Linked DNA regions of Macaca mulatta. The protein of the gene in region 1 purifies or fractionates together with the protein of each later gene. This does not show direct contact. Links are inferred from orthologs where the notes say so. Each region holds a gene or a part of one and is shown on either strand. Other genes may lie near its edges.

The links.
Region 2: the proteins of ZC3HC1 (region 1) and CUL1 purify together in Homo sapiens (affinity purification with western blotting; 3 studies listed by BioGRID, with this or other methods). This does not show direct contact. The link is inferred for Macaca mulatta from reciprocal best matches to the Homo sapiens genes ZC3HC1 and CUL1.

Annotation. Positions count from the first base shown.
Region 1 is NC_133408.1:169,702,165-169,705,972, reverse strand, and holds part of ZC3HC1 (zinc finger C3HC-type protein 1), read left to right. Parts: coding exon 1-129; intron 130-1,388; coding exon 1,389-1,632; intron 1,633-2,763; coding exon 2,764-2,976; intron 2,977-3,808. UniProt on the Homo sapiens protein: Required for proper positioning of a substantial amount of TPR at the nuclear basket (NB) through interaction with TPR.
Region 2 is NC_133408.1:188,517,220-188,521,524, forward strand, and holds the start of CUL1 (cullin-1), read left to right. Parts: upstream 1-1,323; 5' UTR 1,324-1,573; intron 1,574-1,699; exon of another isoform or gene 1,700-1,843; intron 1,844-4,305. UniProt on the Homo sapiens protein: Core component of multiple cullin-RING-based SCF (SKP1-CUL1-F-box protein) E3 ubiquitin-protein ligase complexes, which mediate the ubiquitination of proteins involved in cell cycle progression, signal transduction and transcription.

The DNA.
Region 1 (3,808 bases):
TCTCCTGCACCTGCTTGAAGATGAACTTGATCACCGAACTGATGAGAGAAAAACTACAATCAAATTAGGCTCAGACATCCAAGTCCACGTCACTGCCTGTATTCTCTCTGTGTGTGGCTGGGCATGTAGGTGAGTCAGCGAATTTTGCCCGGAGACATGAGCCATGACAACAGCATTACACTTGTATATGTCAGTCACTTATCGCATTTAGGAATCACATGGTGTTTCCCGTGAGAAAAAGAGACAAAGAGAAACTGGGTGGGGGATGGCAGCGTGGAGAATGGATAATAAGAATTAGTAACAAAACCAGAACTGGAATTCAGGAATTCTTGGTGTTCACAACTGAACTTTGTTTATTGTACGGTTGCTTCTCGACTGGGAATTTGTGTTCTATAAACAGTGAACCTCCTTTCTAAAAATAGAAAGAAAATAAGCTCTTTTCTATTTTTAAGAAGGAAAAATAGAAAGGAAGTTCTTTTCTATTTTTAGAAAGGAAGAAAAATCCACTTAATTGATGAAAACTACCATAGGAAACACCAGCTGGAGTCTTCTAGGCCCCCGTGTTGCTATTTCCATTCCAGCTGTTCAATTTGGCATAGACTCCCACTATCCTTAATCTACCAAAGAGAGCATATTTAAAGTCAGATTGGTTCTGACAATAAATAAATCTTGATTTATTTTAAATATGCTCTCTTTGGTAGATTAAGGAATGTTTTTCGTCTAAAGGGAAAAGACTTTAAGAGGGACAAGAGAGGCGGGTACAGTGGCTCACCTGGCCAACATGGTGAAACCGCATCTCTACTAAAAATACAAAAATTAGCCGGGCATGGTGGCAGGTGCCTGTAATCCCAGCTACTCAGGAGGCTGGGGCAGGAGAATCACTTGAACCTGGGAGGCAGAGGTTGCAGTGAGCCGAGATCGTACCATTGCACTCCAGCCTGGGCAACGAGTAAACTCTATCTCAAAAAAAAAAAAAAAGAAGGACAGGAGAAACCTTTTCGTTGTTGTTGGTGGTCAGGCTGGTCTCAAACTCCCGACCTCAGGACCGCAGGTGATCCACCCGTCGTGGCCTCCCAAAGTGCTGGGATTGCAGGCATGAGCCACCACACCTGGCCGAGAAACTTTTAAAACATGCCTGCAAAACAGTCTTACCATAAAGAGCACAATAAGAACCCTAGGTCTTTCTATGGGAAATACATGAGAGATGATGAAGTATGAAGCTGGGGTCCTGAGATTGGAGCACAGAGGCTCTGACAGGCCATGGTTCCCTGTCCACTGGACTGTTCCAGAAATTGGATGAGATAAAGCATACTTGCGAGACATTACACTTAGTCATTTGGAAATGTTACACTTTGAGAAAATTCTCTTTTTTTTTCATTCCTATCTAGTTCCTCTTTGGAACCCATGCAGCTTTCCCTGATAACATGTTCGCAGTGTATGAGGAAGGTGGGGCTCTGGGGCTTCCAGCAGATTGAATCATCCATGACTGACCTGGATGCATCCTTTGGCCTGACCAGCTCCCCGATCCCAGGCCTTGAGGGGCGACCAGAGCGCTTACCTCTGGTGCCTGAATCTCCTCGGAGGATGATGACGCGGAGCCAGGATGCCACTTTCTCCCCAGGCTCAGAGCAGGTATGCACTTAGCTTGTTTGGGGTGGACTTTTAAACAACATTCTTGGCAAAAGTGTTATTGGTAGGCCGGGCGCGGTGGCTCAAGCCTGTAATCCCAGCACTTTGGGAGGCCGAGACGGGCGGATCACAAGGTCAGGAGATCGAGACCATCCTGGCTAACACAGTGAAACCCCATCTCTACTAAAAAAATACAGAAAACTAGGCGGGCGCCTGTAGTCCCAGCTACTCCGGAGGCTGAGGCAGGAGAATGGCGTGAACCCGGGAGGCGGAGCTTGCAGTGAGCTGAGATCCGGCCACCGCACTCCAGCCCAGGCGACAGAGCAAGTCTCCGTCTCAAAAAAAAAAAAAAAAAAAAGGCCGGGCGCGGTGGCTCAAGCCTGTAATCCCAGCACTTTGGGAGGCCGAGACGGGCGGAGCACGAGGTCAGGAGATCGAGACCATCCTGGCTAACACGGTGAAACACCGTCTCTACTAAAAAATACAAAAAAAAAAAAACTAGCTGGGCGAGGTGGCGGGCGCCTGTGGTCCCAGCTACTCGGGAGGCTGAGGCAGGAGAATGGCGTAAACCCGGGAGGCGGAGCTTGCAGTGAGCCAAGATCCGGCCACTGCACTCCAGCCCCGGCGACAGAGCAAGACTCCGTCTCAAAAAAAAAAAAAAAAAAAAGTATTATTGGTAGAAAGTTGGAAATTAATTTAGGTGGATAGGCTTCACTTCCCACTACATTGGTCACAATATCACGTAGTGTTTCTGTTCACTAATGGAGAAGCTAAATTCAGCCAGACCCGGTGGCTCACGCCTGTAATCCCAGCACTTTGGGAGACTGAGGCAGGTGGATCACTTGAGGTCAGGAGTTCGAGACCAGCCTAGCCAACATGGTGAAACCCCGTCTCTACCAAAAATGCAAAAATTAGCCAGGGGTGGTGGTGGGCGCCTGTAATCCCAGCTACTTGGGAGGCTGAGGCAGGAGAATCACTTGAACTTGGGAGGCAGAGGTTGTAGTGAGCCAAGATCGCCTCACTGCACTCCAGCCTTGGAAACAAAGCGAGATTCTGTCTCAAAAAGAAGAAGATTAAAGAAAGAAGTATCATTAATATCATTTGTGTAATTCCATTATCTCCCCTTTCCTTCAGGCTGAAAAGAGCCCTGGTCCCATTGTCTCTCGAACTCGGAGCTGGGACTCTTCCAGTCCTGTTGACCGTCCTGAGCCAGAGGCTGCTAGCCCCACCACCAGAACTCGCCCAGTGACCCGAAGCATGGGAACAGGAGACACCCCTGGCCTGGAGGTACCATCTAGCCCTCTGCGGAAAGCCAAACGAGCTCGCCTCTGCTCCTCCAGCAGTTCGGTGAGTCCACCGCGCATGTAGCAGTGGCTGAGCAGAAACAGCATGTTGGGCTTTCCCTGGGCAGCACGGAGAAGCAGGCATGAGCCCTTCCATGGTCCAGTGCAAAAAGTAGACCCTGTGAATAAGTTTAAAGTTGGGTGACCAAAGGGGAAAAATGTCAGTCATGTTTTTTGCTCCTTTTTGCTCCTTTGGGGTGGATTCTGGAGAAATAATAGATATTTCAGGCAAATGGAACAGCAGTGTGATACAGGGACAAACCTGATATGGCAGTGGTCCCCAACCTTTTTGGCACCAGGGACCGTTTTCGTGGAAGACCATTTTTCCACGGACCAGGGTTGGGAGGATGGTTTTGGGATGATGTAAGCACATTACATGTATTGTGTACTTTATTTCTATTATTATTATATTGTAATGTATAATGAAATAATTATACAACTCACCATAATATAGAATCACTGGGAACCCTGAGCTTGTTTTCCTGCAACTAGATGATCTCATCTGGGGGTGATGGGAAACAGTGACAGACATCAGGTGTCAGACTCTCATAAGGAGCCCGAAGTCTAGATCCCCCACATGTGCACTTCACAGTAGGGTTCCTGTTCCTGTGAGAATCTAATGCCACTGCTGATCTGACAGGAGGCAGAGCCCAGGTGGTAATGCAAACAATGGGGAGCGGCTGTAAATTCAGATGAAGCTTTGCTTGCCTGCCTGCTGCTCACCTCCTGCTGTGCGACCTGGTACCTATCCATGGCCTGGGGGTTGGGTATCCCTTATCCCTTGTGATAAAGTGTAGCTTGTTTAACACAAAAGGAGTGAAAAAAAATAAAGAAAA
Region 2 (4,305 bases), about 19 Mb from region 1:
CCAGTAAAAGGAAGAAATTGGGACTTTTTTTTTTTAAAAAACCCACATATGTACACTGGAAAACATGGGCCACAGGGATAAACCTTCCATTTTTACTTCCAACTTTACCATGTGCTCACAAAAAAAAAAAAAGCGTTAAATACATCTAAGTTTTGACGAGGTTATTCAAAAGTGTAGGATGTAAACCAAGAATTGTTCACACCCCAACATCCCGCACAAATTAAGGGATTACATACCTGAGTGACAAGTACATACAAATGCATTACTTCTAGAGAGACTGAGATGTGGATAAAAGACCACATTTCAATAGAGGGGATCACATACACCAGTGGGATGTTTCTTCAGAGACAAACCCACGTTACGCAGGAAACAGTGTGGACTCTGGCGACGGCCCTCTGCTCTGGCTGAGGATTTCTGTCCCAGAGTGGTACAGGAATCTGTGTAGTGTTTTCGTTTGGAGAAAACAGGAAGTTACACTCATTACATCTTTTGCCCAGATGATAGAGTTCGAAATCCCCCCGGGGTTGTTCATGGAATGAGCCGCTCTGTTATGCTGTGAGCCGTGGTATTAATAAGCCACCCCTCACTAGATGTGGGGGTTCCACAACGCTTCCTCCACCCGTCACCACAGCAGCGGATAGGCTTTAGGTTGAATATTCCAAATAGCCAATTATGACAGTTAATTTCAAATGAGATGACTTCGAACTACACGTGAAAACAATACTACTTTATATCACGACTCATGCCATCCGTGTATGTAATCAAAGCCTTCTAAGTCTTGATTTGTCCTTACAAAGACGAAGGATAGAGTGAATGTCAAAATTTGCCAAACAGGAGTTAGTGAAAGTCTGAAAGGGAAAGCCTAGTTAGGTTTAATCTTATAAGTGATTTTTAAAAAGAGACACGCAGATAAGCTCGAGCTTTCTGGAGCCGATTCCTAAGGCCTTGCAGGTGTTAAGGGGATCGAGAATTGGCTGCAGGTTCCTCGGAAGTCTGCGCCGATTTGGAGGGCCACCTGGCCACCTCTGACTTTCTGATCTAGGGTGCATCCCCCAGTCCCGGTCGACAAAGGTGGGGAGTCAGGTTCGAGGCCAGCTGGGGGGGGCGGTGTGCGCACAGGGGAGGAGTGGGGGGACTGGGACCCCCTCTCCTTCGGGGTGCTTCAGGCCGTTTCTCCAGAGGCTGGTGGTGTCCCCGACCCAAGCAGCTCAGCCCCGCTCGCGAGGTCCGAAGTGGCGGGAAGGGGTCCTCCGCGGCGGCCCCAAGGCGAGGGAGGCTGTAAAACCTGGCGGAGAATCCGGTGCCCCGGGTCGGGGATGGCTCGGGTGTCCGGGGCAGGGGCCGCGGGCTCGCAGGTAGAAGCTCCCCACGCTAGCGGGGGCCTCGGCCGCGGAAGGGGCGCCCCCGGGGCCGCCGGCATCGGCGGGCGGGCGGGAGCTTTCCGGGCCCCTCCCGCGCCTCGGGCTGGCGGGGCGATGGCGACGACGGTTTCTCGGCTCCCCCGCCCCGGACGCCGATGGCGGTGCGTTCCGGCCCTCCCCCAACAGCTTCTCCCCCGCGGTCGCCGGAGCCGGTGAGGCCGAAGAGGGCGGGGAGCCGCGGAGGGAAGGCGAGAGGGCGGAGGTTGCGTGGTGCAGGCGGCGGCGGCGGCGGGAGGAGGAGGGCCGGGCGGGCAGGGGAGGAGGAGGAGGCGGGCGCCGTGTCGCACGCAGCTCCAGGCGGGGCAGCCCCGGTGGCTGAGGGACGCAGCCAGACCTTGGCGGGACGGGGCTTTCGCCGGGGCCCAGGCCCAGCGACCAGGCGGAGGCGTCGCGGGAGCCTTTGGGGCACCACAGAGATGCGGGTGAGTGTCGGCAGCCGCCGGGGCCGAGAGGAGGTGGCGGCGGCGGCGCAGGCCCGGCCCCGAGCCGCGGTGTCGCAGTGACTTGGGCCGCGGCGGCCAAGCCCAGGCGCCTGGCGAGGCCTGAGCAGCCGAAACGCGGCCGGGCGGAATGGCGGCCGGGCCGGGGGACTCGTGGGCGGAGGACGCCGAGGGCGGCAGGAGAGCGAGCGGGGCCGGGCCCTGAGTCACCCCGGACGGGCCGGGGCGGCCAGGCCTGGACTACGCACTGGGAAAAAGCCCGATTCATCGCGCCTGGAGGCGGCGGCCTGGTGGCGCCGGCACCTTTCCCCGCCGCGACCGGGCTGGGCCCTCGGAAGCTGGGCCGACGTGTGGCACGGGGCAGCTCGGACGTCCGCGCCTCGCCTCGCCTCGTGAGGCGACCTCCGCGGGACGCCGGGACCCGTGCCCTTGCCCCCTCGCGCCCACGCTTCTCCCCAGCGCTGCTTTCCGGCCGACGCGTGCTCCCCTGTGAGCCCTGGGCTCGCGCGCAGGAGCAGCCGCCGAGCCGGGCTCTCTCGCTTTCCGGTTCCCTGCCCGCGGCTCTCGGGTTCCCTGCCTGCATTGTTGCGAACGTGCAGGGCGCTATTATTGGGTAACAGTCGCCCTTTTGCCCCGTTCTCCTGGGGCTATGGGCCGGGGCATGCGCGCAGGGATGCGAGCCCGGCGGCCGAACCGGACAGAGCCCCCCGGCGCCCGCCTAGCGCTCGCGAGTCGGGCCGGGCCCTGCGCCGCGGCGTCGGCGCGCCCCCGGCCGCAACGGGAGCGCGCGCCCTGACCCTGAGGGTAAACGTGTGCCCGCCAGGCTGCTGGGACTTGGGGTCCTCAGACTCGGGGGTCGTGCGCTTTTTTCCCCCCAAGATCTGAAAGACCTCTGTTTCTGCCGCCCGTGCAATATTGTGTAGAGCAGACATAAGATAATTAAGAGAGAGAGGAATGCTTGTAGACATTCCTTGAAATGAATCCCCAAAGTTAAGGTTTTCTCTCTGCCTGGCTTTGCCAAAAAGAGGATTCTCTTTTCCGATTGGGTCACTCTTGGTTGCTTCTGGTTCGTAGTAGGGGTTAGTGGTAAGTGCGCAAATACTGAATTGCAGTCTACTTAAATATTGATTTGCCCAGTGTAATTGCTCTTTCTTGTAGTAGCATTAAAATCGTCAAAAGTTCTGAGTGGAGTAAACGATCACACTTTTTGGAATGCACTTAACGAAGCGGCAGAAGAGGAACTAGATTCCTTTTTTACTTCAAGCCTTGAGCTTCTAGGACCTAAGCATATCTTAACGCCTCGCAGAAGTGTGTGCAGTTTTAAGTTGAACACTTCATTTCATGGTGCACCCGAAAATGTACCCGATTTTCTGAAATCTTGTAGAGTGTATTATGTAGTTAAATATGTAATGATGTTTAAAATGTAAAACCAGTTATTGTATTTGGAAAAAATATTTGGAGGTGAGATTTTTCTTTGTTTAAAGAAGGTTTTTGGATATTGAAAAATGTTTTACTTGAAGGTTCTATTTGTTGTTTTCCATGGTGAGTCGAAATAGTTGCGCTGCATTTCAAATTCCAAAGCATGCAAACGTAAGACTGGCTCGCTTTAACTCTATTATGCCCATTTTTGGAGGTTTCAGGAGAGTGTTCCTTAAGCTTGAGAGGGATGGCTGAATTGCTTTCTAAATACGTTAAACTTCTTTTCTCATTGACTTATCTTTTAAAAACGGTTTTGTCAAAAAAACAAACTAACTTTAGATATGCTAGGTTTTTCACCAATTTATGAAAGCCTCCCTCCCTGAGAGCCACATGCTCAGGTCCTTATAGGCAGCCCCACCCCCCACTCCTAATGTGTGTACCACATCAGAAGACAGACAAGCATGCCTGAGCTGATTCTGCATGGTTTCCTTAGATATTGCAGTTCATTAGACTCTTGCCACTTACTGAAAGTTATCTTCTGGCTGTAATTAACTACAGTACAGCCTTATTTCCCATACATTTCCGATTGTGAATTCCTCCAGCGCAGGGGATATTCCTTATTTGTTTTTGCGTCCCGAGAGTAACAGAACTTGGTTACGGTGGTGCCTCAGTTGCTTTTTTTTTTTTTTTTTTTTGAATGAATTAGTTTTCTGGAATAATTCTAACTTACACTTAACGTTTGAAAACATGCCCTGATTTTTGGCTACAGAAAACACAGTCCTTGCACTTAAGGGGGTTAAGAATGCAAGCTTTATTGTACGCTTCTCGAGTAAAATTGATCGTCTCTCTCATCCCTCCTTTTCTACCCCCCCAATCCACTTCCCTTCCCCCCGCAACACCCCAGTACCTAGTACAGGGCCCTAACAGAAATCTGCCCGGGTTTTCTATACCTATGGAAGTCCAGGAAAGTGCCAAGAAAACACGTTGTGAAACTTTAACGTTTTTTCTCCTTAAAACTAGTTTTA